Linked DNA regions of Macaca fascicularis. The protein of the gene in region 2 purifies or fractionates together with the protein of the main gene of each other region. This does not show direct contact. Links are inferred from orthologs where the notes say so. Each region holds a gene or a part of one and is shown on either strand. Other genes may lie near its edges.

Region 1 (7,089 bases), on a different chromosome or scaffold from region 2:
GCCACCATGCCTGGTCAGATATCATCATCTTAATAAAAGCCAGGGGTTGGGAAATTGCCAATAAGCTGCATAAGACTATATCCTTAGCAAACTACTGCAGGAACAGAAAACCACATACCACATGTTCTCACTTCTAAGTGGGAGCTAAATGATGAGAACACATAGACACACAGAGGGGACAACACACACTGGGGCCTATAGGAGGGTAGAGGGAGAGGATCAGGAAAAATAACTAATGGCTTGAGCTCAGGAATTCATGACCAGCCTGGGCAACAAGGTGAAACCCCATCTCTACTAAAAATACAAAAAAACAGCGGGGTGTGGTGGTGTGTGCCTGTGGTCCCAGCTACTCAGGAGGCTGGGGTGGCAGGATGGCTTGAGCCTGGGAGGAGGAGGTTGCAGTGAGCCAAGATCACGCCACTGTACTCCAGCCTGGGTGACAGAGCAAGACCCTGTCTCAAAAAAAAAAAAAAAGACTATGGCCTCATCGTTTTGGAGATGCATGAATTTCAAGACAGAGAAACGTGCTCTGTAACAACCTTTGCCTGAAGTTACTTCCTGAAATCACTTGCAGTTGTCCCACAACAATTTACTTCTATAATATTATATTACCACAAAGGGATGCTGCAGAGGACTAATGGAGAAACCGGAGATCACAGATCAAGTAAAAGAATCTTAAAACTGAAAGGAATTTAGAAGTCTATTTTTACTCCCTACCCAATGGCTGAGTCCTCTCTAAAACAATCTCAACAAGTGGCATCTATCCAGCTTTTGTCTGAATATCTTCAATGCTGGAGAACCCACTATGTTTCAAGGAAGCCCAGTTAGTTCTAGTTATTAGAAATTTTCTTCTTATATTTAGTTGAAGTCATTCTCCCTGTAGCTTTCTGGAGCCATTAAAAGCCAATCTCAACCTGGTATGGTGGCTCATGCCTGTAATTCCAAAGCTGTGGTAGGCTGAGGCAGGAGAATCACTTCATCCCAGGAGTTTGAGACCAGCCCGGGCAACATAAGGAGACTCCTCCACCCATTGACTCTACAAAAATTTTAAAATTAGCAGTAGCTGGAGCTGGGGAGGCTGAGGTGAGAGGACTGCTTGGGCCTGGGAGGCTGCAGCTGCAGTGAGCCATGATCGCACCAGCCATAATTGCACACTGGACTCCAGCCTGGGAGACAGAGCAAGATTTTGTCTCACACAAAAAGAAAAAAGAAAAAAAAAAAAAAAGAAAAAGAAAAAAGCCAATCCCACACAAACCCGAAGTCAAAAGATAGAACTTACAACCTCTTTACCTCTTTTAATTATGTTTGTGCTAGTGGTGCTCACAGGGGCCAGTGACAAGCCTAAATGTTACTGGTGGGGAAAAAGGAGGAAAAGAGAATAATCTGAAAAGTTGAAATGGAAGAAGAAACCAGTATCTAAGTCTATACATTGGTATATATTGCCTACTATTAGCCTAAGCACTATTTTTGGCCACTTCTGAAATATTTTTATTTTATTTCAGCAAATTGATGAAAAAAAGAAAGAATTTCATGCAGAACTATAATGCCAGAAACAATTTTACTAACTCCCAGCTAGTGTAGGAGTGAAAAAGAAACAATCAAATCTTACTATTCTGTTTATAAAGACTAACACTGGATATCAAATACTGTAAGATATGTAGTTCATGGCCATTTTACATTTGCCACAACCGAAACAACAGGGCTGAGGGAATGGAAAATTAGTTTTGTCATTTGTGATAGCGTGTAGCTTACTGTAGCAGTATGATATTTTTACCTCTACCCTCTAGACTTCTTTAAAAGCTTGAGATATCTATCCCAAGTTGAACTTATAATTTTTCTTCTTATTATTCTTTTGAGACAGAGTCTCACTTTGTTGCCCAGGCTGGCAGTGCAGTGGCACGATCTCAGCTCACTGCAACCACTGCCTTTCCGGCTCAAGTGATTCTCCTGTCTCACCCTCCCAAGTAGCTAGGACTATAGGCACACGCCATGCTTGTCTAATTTTTTTTTTTTAACTTTAAGTTCTGGGATACATGTGCAGAATGTGCAGGTTTGTTACATAGGTATACATGTGCCATGATGGCCTGCTGCACTCATCAACCCCTCATCTAGGTTTTAAGTCCCGCATGCTCTCCCTCCCTTTGGCCCTCACCCCTGACAGGCTCCGGCATGTGATGTTCCCCTCCCTGCATCCATGTGTTCTCATTGTTCAACTCCCACTTATGAGTGAGAACATGTGGTATTTGGTTTTCTGTTCCTGTGTTACTCTGCTGAAGAATGATGGTTTCCAGCTTCATCCATGTCCCTAAAAAGGATATGAACTCATATTTCTAATGGCTGCAAAATTTTTAAAATTTTGTTGTAGAAACAAGGTCTCACTATATTGCCCAGGCTGGTCTCACAATCCTGGGCTCAAGCGATCCTCCTGCCTTGGCCTCCCAAAGTGCTGGGATTACAGGTGTGAACCACCACACCTAGCCTCACAATTCTTTTTTTTTTTTTTTTGAGACGGAGTCTCGCTCTGTCGCCCAGGCTGGAGTGCAGTGGCCGGATCTCAGCTCACCGCAAGCTCCGCCTCCCGGGTTTACGCCATTCTCCTGCCTCAGCCTCTCGGGTAGCTGGGACTATAGGCGCCCGCCACCTCACCGGGCTAGTTTTTTGTATTTTTTTAGTAAAGACGGGGTTTCACCGTATTAGCCAGGATGGTCTCGATCTCCTGACCTCGTGATCCGCCCGTCTCGGCCTCCCAAAGTGCTGGGATTACAGGCTTGAGCCACCGCGCCGGGCCTCTGGCCTCACAATTCTTTTTTTTTTTTTCTTTTTTTTTTTTTTTTTTTTGAGACGGAGTCTCGCGCTGTCACCCAGGCTGGAGTGCAGTGGCCGGATCTCAGCTCACTGCAAGCTCCGCCTCCCGGGTTCACGCCATTCTCCTGCCTCCGCCTTCCGAGTAGCTGGGACTACAGGCGTCCGCCACCTCGGCCGGCTAGTTTTTTGTATTTTTTAGTAGAGACGGGGTTTCACCGTGTTAACCAGGATGGTCTCGATCTCCTGACCTCGTGATCCGCCCGTCTCGGCCTCCCAAAGTGCTGGGATTACAGGCTTGAGCCACCGCGCCCGGCCGGCCTCACAATTCTTTTACCCAATTCTCCCTTATTTATCAGGCTTTGCTTTCACCTATATTGAGACCTAAAGTGCACGCAACATAAGCACCTAGAGAGCTGATCCAACCTCATTGTCTACAAGTTTCATTTTTAGAGCTTGGAAAGAAAACTTACTCTGTCCCAGCCATTTATGCAATACCCTGGGAACTCATTTCCAGTAATGCATGAACTATAGTACTGGCAGGCAAGATTGAAATAAAGTAGATGAAACAGACTAAAAACACAGACACACACAAAAATGGGTGATTTTGGATTTAACTATGTTCATTTCATCTTTTTACCTCTTTCCTCAGAAAAGCTAAGCTTCCAGTTACAAAGGAAGACAAGAAGAAGATAAACTACTTACATTCAGACAGTGGTTTGAGAACAGTCTGGCTTTTGACATCTGACTCTACAATTTCAATAGCTCTCCTATAAAAAAAATTTCTAAAATTAATTTAGTGTGAGCCAAACCAAACACCATACCAAATCACCAGCCTCAAAAGCAGGCACATTAATGACTATTGCTTAAAGACTGCAACTATGAACAATGGTCATGTAGGCTAACATGGTTTAGCCTATACATATCCTATGTCTAACTTTAAAATTATGATGTTTTGTAATTTTAAAGCCCCCAAACAAAACTGGGTTATTTCTCAGATAAGGGGACTTAATTGCTTTGAAATAATTCATGGACGTCAGATTTGAGAAACTTCAATGGTTTCCTCCTAATAGATGCCAAGTAGGTCATCATACATTAAGCCAATGATAACATCTTGGATGAGGAGAAAATGTCATGGGTAGGAGAGAGGATATGTAGTGTGGGTGACTAACTAAAGGGAGCCAGCACCACCCATACACACCAAACCTAAAAGAGATATCTTCAGTTATAAATACATAGGATATGTGTAGGCTAAACCACCCTAGCCTACATGACTATTGCTCATAGTTGCAGTCTTTACCCAAGTAGTTTGCTGATTAGGGGAAACTTTCAAATTCAGGATCATGCAATCTAGCAATAGGAAGAGCTTACTCTCCCACTGCTCTCTCCAAAGTACTTTGCCCACAGGAAGCCATAAGCCAGACCTGGGTCTTCTGCATGGCAATAGGGGGAGGTTGGACCAGCAGGCCAGCACAGCAAGTATCATTTTAATGGACCCAGCGTCCCTACTGGGAAGGAAGAAATTTCATCAGTCAGCACAGAGGCTTTCCCCAGCAGGAGGGGCAGGGGGATGGGAAGGGAGAAAGAGGTCTGGAGTACAACTATGGGGGACCACCAACTGGAGGGAAGAAGGGGTGCTCACAAAAGGAAAGGAAGGAAAAAAGTCTAAAGGCAAAGATGGTTCAGGTCCATAAATAAACCTGCTTGAGACCAGCTAATGGAAAAGTAAACTGGAGTCTTTTTTAATACAAATGTAATTAACCAATCTATAATCACCACAGGGAGTGCCAGCAACATCTCATTTGTTTCTCCCTCTGTAGGTAATGGACTGATAATGTTTCAGACATTAACACGGTGGAAATCCAGAGCTCCCCACTGAGAAACAAGTCCTCCTTTCTGAGCGTAAAAAAGTAGCAGAACAGAGCCTCTTAAGCCACATTCACTTGAGTTACATGAGACAATTAACAGCATTTCTTTTTTTTTTTTAATAAAAGGAGGCAACAGTGCCATAACTCACCTGCAAACATCTAGTGCTTTGCGAACATCTCCTGAAACAGCAGAGACTTTGCGGGCACAGAATTGAATTGCAGCATTGTCCAGAACCTGATCTCTAGATACCTTAAGACAAGACATAGAATATGACAGTTTGAACTATAAGATTCTCCCTCGGTAATTTATGTCCCAAGCATAAATATTTTCACATTTAACCCTAAACTTGATTGGCAACTCCTTAGGGTCAAAAAGATGCCTTTTCTTCTCATAAATAATGGAGATATTTGAGAGTTTTCACACATTTAAGCATTTTGTATGGATGTGGTAGAAGTTCATAAATGGAAAAAAAGCAATCAGAACTGAAATTAGCAAAAATAAAATATCTATTTAGTTACTTTCAACAGAAAAAGTTTTTTCATAGGCCCTATTTTTTAAAAGTCATTAAAGAAAGCACTTGAGGCCGGGTACAGTGGCTCACACCTGTAATCTGAGCACTTTGGAGGCCGAGACAGGCATATCACCTGAGGTTAGGAGTTCGAGACCAGCCTGGCCAACATGGTGAAACCCGAGCTCTACTAAAAATATAACAATTAGCTGGGCGTGGTGGCGGGTGCTGTAACCCCAGTTACTCGGGAGGCTGAGGCAGAAGAATTGCTTGAACCCGGGAGGCAGAGGTTGTAGAGAGCCGAGATCATGCCATTGCATTCCAGCCTGGGCTACAAGAGCAAAACTCCATCTCAAAATTCCTCTAACTCCTGATTTTATTTCAACACTGAGACATCCAGTAAATGAATGAAGCAGAAATTCACATAAAAATGTTCTCTCTATGGTCCACAGGAACTTCTTGCTCCATTAATAAAGCAATTAAGGCAAAAATATTTTAAAACTATTGTTAAATTTTCCTAGCACAGGTGATCCAAGAAACACATAATTTGGCAAAATAGTTGGCACTGACTGACCTGAGTAAGTCGATCTTGCAAAATAGCGACTATCTGATTTCTGGTATAAGGTGGGAAGTTCAACAGCTGTGGCTTACAGTTTTCTCTAGCTTGAAGCCTAGGCAGAATTCTATCTGTGAGATCCAGGGTATTAGCAATACCTAAGGAAGAGATCAACAACATTGATCATTGGTTACATTATCCTAAAGGGAAAACTAAATCCTCTGAAAGCTAAATAAATTTCCAGTTATAGAATCTAGCGTCTTAATGTTGCTTCACAGCTGTCTCCTACCCCATCCCAATTGATAAGATATATCTATTAGGTAAGATATACCTAGTCATTTAACTTTCTATTTTGACAAGGCAGAAAGCTGGTTTAAGATAAAATAGTTGATAAATAAGCTGAATATATATTTAAAAAAAAAAAAACTTTAAAACCACCACGTAACATTAACAATTGAGCACTAACCAATCAGCACCAAGCGAGAATTGCTCAGCCATGGCCATTCAAATAGTGTGTACAATACATCCTGGCCTTTGCTGTCCAGTTGATCCATCTCATCCAATACCAACACACTATAAAAAGAGAAACAGTTAGAATCCATATTCACCTTCCTAACCCTCTAATGTTTGGTATAGGCTGTCTTCAGGTCACTTTCCTAAAGCTCAGACCAGTTTAAAGATCATAATCTATCCTATCTCTAGTTACTGTTACAAGGATACTCCACATCATCTACAAGTAATCCAATTTAAAATTAGGTGTATCTTCCTTCTCTTCTTTCCCTTTAAACTTATGTAACTATTCTTCAGAGAGCAAATATACAAAATGTACTTTTTATGGGCAACAGACCTTGCAGATTTTCACAGAGCAACATGAAGCAGAACAATACTTACATCATGGGGCCCTTGTCTGCAGTCATATGTTTTTCTAATTTCCTCATCATGTCCTTCCCAGCTGGCTTGGATACCTCTTCCTGACAAATCTCCTGAGCAATAGCTGGGAATACAGCCTGGGCACTCCTCAAGGACATGCAATTCAGCATGATAGTTTTAAAGCCTTTCAGTTCCTTCTGGAAAAAAAATGCAAACATGGTAGTTATTTTGGCCTCAGAAAATAAAGATCTGATAGAGCCTAAAATGTCTTTGAAGAGCTAACAGCGCGTAAGGAAGCTCTACTTTCATTTGGAAAGATTTAAACAATGAAATTACAAATGTCTTGTTTTAAAGAAACCTTCAATCTTCGAAACTTCTACTCTCTTTTCTTTTCTTTTGGAGACAGAGTCTCACTCTGTTGCCCAGGCTGAAATGCAATGGCACAATCTCAACTTACTGCAACCTCTGCCTCCCAGGTTCAAGT
Region 2 (7,593 bases):
GGAGCTCAGACTTACATTAGATGCTATCAGTACAGACAATCTCTCGACCACATCCAAAAAAACTTCATTCTTTTGGCTCTGAGAAAGAGAGAGGGTTTGGATGGTTGGAAGCAGAATAGCCTATGTTCTGAAATGGACAGACAGGGAGAAAGGACAGGACAGTCAAAGCTACAGCTCTAGGGTGGGGACATGGGTGATGGAAGGGATACCCACATCTAGGGGAGGTGGGAGAGGTGTCAAGATCTTTTTTTTTTTTTGAGATGGAGTCTCGCTCTGTCGCCCGGGCTGGAGTGCAGTGGCCCGATCTCAGCTCACTGCAAGTTCCGCCTCCCGGGTTTACGCCATTCTCCTGCCTCAGCCTCCTGAGTAGCTAGGACTACAGGCGCCCGCCACCTCACCCGGCTAGCTTTTTGTATTTTTTAGTAGAGATGGGGTTTCACCGTGTTAGCCAGGATGGTCTCGATCTCCTGACCTTGTGATCCGCCTGTCTCGGCCTCCCAAAGTGCTGAGATTACAGGCTTGAGCCACCGCGCCTAGCCGATCTTTTCCTTTTTCTTTTTTTTTGCATTTTTGGGTTTTACCATGTTGGCCAGGCTGCTCTCGAACTCCTGGCATCAGGAGATCCGCCCACCTCGGCCTCCTAAAGTGCTGGGATTACAGGCATGAACCACTGCGCCCCAACGTAAGATCTTGGACTCTGGGGTCCCAGAGCAAAACCAGAGGGTCTGACCCCATGGATTCCTCCCTCACCTGGTCAGAGCGACTGGACAGGACAGGGCGGCTGGCTGCACTGCTGGGAGCCACTTTGCTCTGTTGTGTCTCAGCCCCAAACTGTAAAGCATCCAAAGCAATCAATCATCAGGTCTGACAACCCCAGCCAACCCCTCTTCTCCTTCCTCACCCTCCTCTTTCCCTCTGCTGACCAAGCCAACGCTGCTGAGGTCAAAGAGGCTGAAGGGCTTGCTGACCACAGCTTCCGTCTGGATGAAATTCCTCAGCATCTCTGTGGATGTGGTCTGTACATAGCCATAGTCCTAGTGGTAAAGGAAGGACAGTCCGAGTGGTCAGTGGAGGGAAGGGGTAAAAAGGGGGAGTGGGGCCAGGCATGGTGGCACACTCTTGTACTCCCAGGTCTTTGGAAGGCCGAGACATAGGAGAATGGTTTGAGACCACGAGTTCAAGACCAGCCTGGGCAACAGAGCGAGACTCCCGTCTCTACAAAAAATAAACAATGAGCTGGACACAGGGGAGGAGGCTGAGGCAGGAGAATAGCTTGAGCCCAGGAGTTCCAGGCTGCAGTGAGCTATAATTGCACCACTGCACTCCAGCCTGGGCAACAGAGCAAGACCGTCTCTAAAAGGAAAAAAAAAAATAGACTTGGCCTCCTAACCACAGCATCCCACAGTAGAAGAGCAGATGTATCTCCAGGGGAATTAGGTGGGGGCCACAGAAGGGGATCATTGATTCTCACCAGCACTTCATCCAGGAGTTCGTAGACCAGAGCCACATTGCGGGAGATGGTCCCCTCGCCCAGGGAGCCACAGTAATCGCCCAGAAGAGTGGCCAACCTGAGGAAACACTTGGAGCGTGTATTTCCTCCTCCTCTCAGACCCCTGCCAGCTAGCAGGTGCCCAGCCCAACCCTCCTCACCTGGAGAGCAGTTCTAGGAGGCTGAAGGGAGAAACGTTTTCTGAAGTTGTTACCACCAAATACAGGCTGCTGTGTCTGATGTGAATGAAATGACGGCCATCGTGATACTGAAACACAGGCAGGGAGAAGAGGGGTTAGGAAAAGGGAGGTGGAGTAATCAGAACCCAGGAGACCTGAGCTGGGATCCCGATGCCTCTTACTAGTTTGGGAGATACATGACAGATCCCTGAGCCCAGCTTCCCATGTGGAAACGGGGTTAATTATAGTAACTACCCCAAGTTGCTGATAATGGAGTCACGCAGGGAGCTGGGCCTGGTGTGTTGCTGGCGCCCAATGGACGTTTTTTTTTTCCCCCACCCCCATTACCCCGAGACGGAGTCTCGCTCTGTCACCCAGGCTGGGTGCGGTGTCCGGATCTCGGCTCACTGCAACCTCTGCCTCTTCGGTTCAAGCGATTCTCCTGCCTCAGCTTCCCGAGTAGATGGGATTACAGGCGCCCGCCACCACGCCCAGCTAATTTTTTTTTCGTATTTTTAGTAGATGCGAAGTTTCAGCATGTTGGTCAGAATGGTTTCGAACTCCTGACCTCAGGTGATCCGCCCTCCTCGGCCTCCCAAAGTGCTGGGATTACAGGCGTGAGCCACCGCGCCGGGCCTCTTGTTAGTTTTACTTGGAGAAATACAACCCCCAAGTGGAAGCTACCATGGAACCAGTCCTGGGAGGGAGACGGCGCCCACCCGGCCCGCCCGGGCCCAGCTCCTCACCCGCCTCCCGCCAGTGGTTACCATGACAACCGGGGACTCGTCTCCTGGCAGTCCCGTCAGCTTCCGGTAGAAGAGCTCGGCCACATCCCGGCCGCCACTGTCCCCGCGGACTGGCGGGTGGAAGGACTCAGTGAAGGATCCTGCGACACGGGCTGGCCCTGGGCGCCCCTCCCGCCCGGTCCCTCCGCCCCTTCCCAGCCCCGAGGGTCTAGGATACAGTCTTTGTAGATGAGCGGGTCCCCCTTGGAGGACAGAATGAAGAACTGGGAAATCATGGCCGTCCTGGAGAGCAGACAAGAAGACGGCGAAAGTTGGGCCTGCCCCGCCCTGAGGCCCCGGAACAAAAGAACGCGCGTGCGCTGGCCCTTTAAGAGCGATTCTCCTCCGCCGCGCCAGCTTGGACCGCGGGAAACCCGGCGCCCGCCCCACCCCGCCCGGAGATTCCCTTCCGACTCCCGCACCGCCTCCCCGTCACTCATTCGAGGCCCGCCCGGCGATTGGCTTGCGGCTAGCGGGAGGGAGAAAGGGCCGGCTTTTCCGATTGGCCCGCACGCAGTGGCGCTGGTCACGTGGGGGGCGACGTTTCGCGCCAATTTCGGTTGGCCGGCCACAGTCCACCGCGCGGACGTTCTCAGCTTCCCCAGAAGCAAGACCTCTGAGCCCGCCAAGAGCTGCCGCACAGGCCTCGGCAGCGATGGCACTGAAGGACTACGCGCTAGAGAAAGGTACGGGTCTACAAGCCTGGGAGGGCGTCCTGCGCGGGGAGCCTCCCGGGGAACACCTGTTGATGTGAGCTGGGGTCTTCGAGGACCGGGGTCAGCGGGTTCTGGGGCGCGCGACGCCAGAGGCAGGGTCGGGTTGCGGCCTGGCTAAGGCCCACGGGACCTGGAAGGCGCGCGAGGGGCATCGACGTTGAAGAAAAGGTAGTAATCCCACTTGGGAAAGGTGTTATAGAGTTGGGGGGCTTGGGGGGCGCTACCCGGCTGAGGGCTGCACAGGGAAGAGTCGCGCCGAGGACCTCAGGAGACTCTAAGGGCTCTGGACCCCGGACCCGCTTCCCTCCGCGCTTTTGGATATTCCCAGGTTCCCGCCGCCTCCCCGAGGCGCGCGGAGGCCCCGGGGGCGGGCAAGCCGGGGCCGCTACGTGCCGGGATTGGCCGTTTGAGGCCGCCCTCCGAGCGGAAGTGGAGCCGGGCGGAAGTGGCGCGACGCGGGTGGAGGGAGTGTCGTGTAAACAGTGTCCTTCCGCGTGGCGGCCTCGGAGAGAGCTGCGACCCGGGGGGGCGTGCCTGGGATCCGGGAGCTTCGCTCGGGCCCGGGAAAGGCGGCAGTGGGCTGGGATCGCAGTGGCCCTGGGCGTGCTGGCCAATGGCTGAACTGGCTCCCGCCTCGGGCGGAGGAATCCCGGGCTGTGAAGCGGCTGGAATCCGGGCCCATGTGCTTCTTTGTTTACTAAGAGCGGAAGCGCTGGCGGGAGCGGTGGTGGGGTGCGGGACCTGCCTGGTGGCGGAGGTCTCGGTGAGATAAGGGGCTCGGGGGACCCAAAGAAGGCAGGGGATCATGGGGGTGGAAAGAAAGCTGAGAACCTTGAGGCCGGAGTGTGGGAGGCCAATGGGGAACGGCGCTAGGATTTTAAACTAAAGTAGGGACAGGAATTCCCCTGGGGAATAGATGTTGGATCGCCCTGTGCACTGCCCCGGGCTCTTTATTCTTCGCTGGTTAAAACAGACTGTGCAAAAGAGTTATGCCCACTTTGGGGAGAATTCGGTAGTTTATTTAAATGTTCATATTATTAGTTCATAGGCTGTGTTTTAAGCGAAAATAGGTATCTTAGATTTCTATCAGAGGGATGGGCAGTGATGTGTCTTAAAGTTTATGTTTTATGATTTTACATTTCACGTTACAGAAAAGGTTAAGAAGTTCTTACAAGAGTTCTACCAGGATGATGAACTTGGGAAGAAGCAGTTCAAGTATGGGAACCAGTTGGTAAGTATAAGATTGGGTAAAGGGAATGGGGAAGTGGGGTGCATAAGGAGCCATAAGAAGTAGCTTGGCTGGTTTTATTAAAGAGGTAATAATTAGAGGGTTTGGGGGCTGAGAAGCAAGTATCTCTCTAAGTGGTGCTGTGTTCCCCCCTGTGGATGCCCAGAGCCTGTGCTGAGTTCTCAGTAATGTATCTTCACATATGAACACTGGTGCACAAGGTGAATGTGGCTTTGAGGTGTTTCTGTCTCTTTCTCACCTGAGGTTCGGCTGGCTCATCGGGAACAAGTGGCTCTGTATGTGGACCTGGACGACGTAGCCGAGGATGACCCCGAGTTGGTGGACTCAATTTGTGAGAATGCCAGGCGCTACGCAAAGCTCTTTGCCGATTCCGTACAAGAGCTGCTGCCTCAGTACAAGGAGAGGGAAGTGAGTGGCTAGAGAACAATGGCAAACAAAGGGAAAGGCATTTAAGCTTCTGTAGAGAGGCTGGTCAGATACTGATGTTTTCTGAGCAGGCAGAAAGAAGGGGCATTTCAGTCTGGTGTTCTCTGCACTCTCCTTTCCCCATCCTGTTGCTCGTTTATTTATTTATTTGTTTATTTTGTCCTCCTTTAGGTGGTAAATAAAGATGTCCTGGACGTTTACATTGAGCATCGGCTGATGATGGAGCAGCGGAGTCGGGACCCTGGAACAGCCCGAAGCCCCCAGAACCAGTACCCTGCTGAACTCATGCGCAGATTGTGAGTGGTCTCTGTTTGGAAGTATGTAGGGATTGGTTCTCCAGGATCTTGTTTGTGACTGTTTTCTCCCCTTAGTGAGCTGTATTTTCAAGGCCCAAGTAGCAACAAGCCTCGTGTGATCCGGGAAGTGCGGGCTGACTCTGTGGGGAAATTGGTGACTGTGCGTGGAATTGTCACTCGTGTCTCTGAAGTCAAACCCAAGATGGTGGTGGCCACTTACACTTGTGACCAGTGTGGGGCAGAGACCTACCAGCCGGTACGTGTGGAGCAAGGAGCAGGAAAGCCCTTACCCATTAGTCGTTTTGTAGAGATTAATTTGATCCCGTGATGCCTATCATTTTCTTTGCTTGTAAAAGTTGCCTGTGTGTTTGCCTTTCATTGTTGGGTATGTAATGGTCTTTCTACCTATTTCTTGGGTGTTTGTTGTTGACCCAGAGTTAAGTTCAAAGGGTTCTTGACACTTCCAAGATGTCTGCCATGAAGAGAAAATGTGATTCAAGGAACCGACCGACCCAATGGGGCTCTTTTGCTTCTGACTTCCTTTTGCTGCTTCTGTTCTCACATCCTAGATCCAGTCTCCAACTTTCATGCCTCTGATCATGTGCCCAAGCCAGGAGTGCCAAACCAACCGCTCAGGAGGGCGGCTGTATCTGCAGACACGGGGCTCCAAATTCATCAAATTCCAGGAGATGAAGATGCAAGAACATGTGAGTTTGGGGTACGTGGCCCTGGGCAGGTGGATTGGGAGTCCACTTGAATCCTGTAGTCACTTGTGGAGTGGCAGGAAGAAAGAAGAACGAAAGAGGGAAGTGCAGGAGGGAGGTGGAACTAGAATTTCTGAGAGCCTTGGGAAGGGGAAACTCAGTAGCCCTCCTGTGGGCTTGTCTGTGACTAGGCAGCCTGGGAGCCTTTGAGTGGGATGCCTAGGGAGGGAAGGTTGGGTCCTCGTCCATTTCTCCTGGCCTTATGTGCCTTTCCCTCCCCTAGAGTGATCAAGTGCCCGTGGGAAACATCCCTCGTAGTATCACGGTGCTGGTAGAAGGAGAGAACACGAGAATTGCCCAGCCTGGAGACCACGTCAGCGTCACTGGTATCTTCTTGCCAATCCTGCGCACTGGGTTCCGACAGGTGGTACAGGTAAGGAAGAGTTTGACATGAGGATCGTCCCCTTTTCCCTCACCTACTCATTCTACTCGCACAGAGAAAAGTGGGCAGCAAAACCCCAAACAGAACCCAGGGATTTGTCAAGAAATCGTTAGGGAATCCAGTGATGGGCAAGTTGAAGGGATTGCATCTGTATCCTGGCATTTTCCTGCCCAAGGGTTTACTCTCAGAAACCTACCTGGAAGCCCATCGGATTGTGAAGATGAACAAGAGTGAGGATGATGAGTCTGGGGCTGGAGAGCTCAGCAGGGAGGAGCTGAGGCAGATTGCAGGTGAGGGGCAGGGGAGATAGAGGAAATTCCATTTACATCCTAGCCCCCTTTTCCCCCAAAAAATACAACCTTAACTTCTCTACAGAAGAGGATTTCTACGAAAAGCTGGCAGCTTCAATCGCCCCAGAAATATATGGGCACGAAGATGTGAAGAAGGCACTGCTGCTTCTGCTAGTGGGGGGTGTGGACCAGTCTCCTCGAGGCATGAAGATCCGGGGTAAGAAGGAAAAAGGGAGAGGCTCGGGGGGATGAAGTCATTTAGGAGGGAAAAAGGATGACAAGTGTCTCTGTAGGTCAGAGTATAAGAGTGGACATCTTGCCTTCATGGACACAGGGAGGGCTTAGAAGTAATGCTGGGTGTTAGAGGGAGGCAGAACTCAAAATTGCTCTGTTGTTGTCTAAGTATTGGGAGAAGAGTCATTCCAGGGCTGCCTTCCCTTCCTCCAGGCAACATCAACATCTGTCTGATGGGGGATCCTGGTGTGGCCAAGTCTCAACTCCTGTCGTACATTGATCGGCTGGCCCCCCGCAGTAAGTAGTTGGGCCTTGGGAGAGGTGAACATAGTGACAGATAGGGCCACAGTGTTTATTCAAAAAATGGGGGTGCATGGTGGCTCACACTTGTAACCCCAATGCTCTGAGAGGCTGAGGCGGAAGGATCGTTTGAGACCAGGCTGGTCTACTAAAAAGTTTGTTTGTTTGGGTATTTTTTTTGTTTGTTTCCTTTTTTTGAGACGGAGTCTCAGTCACCCAGGCTGGAGTGCAATGGCGTGGTTTCGGCTCACTGCAACCTCTGCCTCTCAGGTTCAAGCGATTCTCCCTTCTCAGCCTCCTGAGTAGCTGGGACTACAGACACGTGCCACCACACTTGGCTAATTTTTGTACTTTTAGTAGAGATGGGGCTTTACTATGTTGGGCAGGCTGGTCTCGAACTCCTGACCTCATGATCTGCCTGCCTTGGCCTCTACCAAAGTGCTGGGATTACAGGTGTGAGCCACTGCGCCTGGCCTCTACTAA

The links. Proteins that work in one complex are often made in the same cells at the same time.
Region 1: the proteins of MCM7 (region 2) and CDC6 purify together in Homo sapiens (affinity purification with western blotting; 3 studies listed by BioGRID). This does not show direct contact. The link is inferred for Macaca fascicularis from reciprocal best matches to the Homo sapiens genes MCM7 and CDC6.

The regions. Positions count from the first base shown.
Region 1 is NC_088390.1:61,378,640-61,385,728, reverse strand, and holds part of CDC6 (cell division control protein 6 homolog), read right to left. Parts: intron 6,803-7,089; coding exon 6,627-6,802; intron 6,309-6,626; coding exon 6,202-6,308; intron 5,894-6,201; coding exon 5,754-5,893; intron 4,921-5,753; coding exon 4,820-4,920; intron 4,699-4,819; coding exon 4,579-4,698; intron 3,573-4,578; coding exon 3,508-3,572; intron 1-3,507. UniProt on the Homo sapiens protein: Involved in the initiation of DNA replication. Also participates in checkpoint controls that ensure DNA replication is completed before mitosis is initiated.
Region 2 is NC_088377.1:48,750,801-48,758,393, reverse strand, and holds the start of MCM7 (DNA replication licensing factor MCM7), read left to right. Parts: upstream 1-3,011; 5' UTR 3,012-3,108; coding exon 3,109-3,139; intron 3,140-3,639; exon of another isoform or gene 3,640-3,932; intron 3,933-4,320; coding exon 4,321-4,400; intron 4,401-4,661; coding exon 4,662-4,826; intron 4,827-4,881; coding exon of another isoform or gene 4,882-4,889; intron 4,890-5,015; coding exon 5,016-5,140; intron 5,141-5,215; coding exon 5,216-5,396; intron 5,397-5,709; coding exon 5,710-5,847; intron 5,848-6,127; coding exon 6,128-6,277; intron 6,278-6,461; coding exon 6,462-6,576; intron 6,577-6,661; coding exon 6,662-6,793; intron 6,794-7,023; coding exon 7,024-7,107; intron 7,108-7,593. Other genes in the region: AP4M1 (AP-4 complex subunit mu-1), read right to left, coding at 16-78, 751-831, 924-1,034, 1,472-1,568, 1,651-1,757, 2,415-2,524, 2,632-2,689. UniProt on the Homo sapiens protein: Acts as a component of the MCM2-7 complex (MCM complex) which is the replicative helicase essential for 'once per cell cycle' DNA replication initiation and elongation in eukaryotic cells.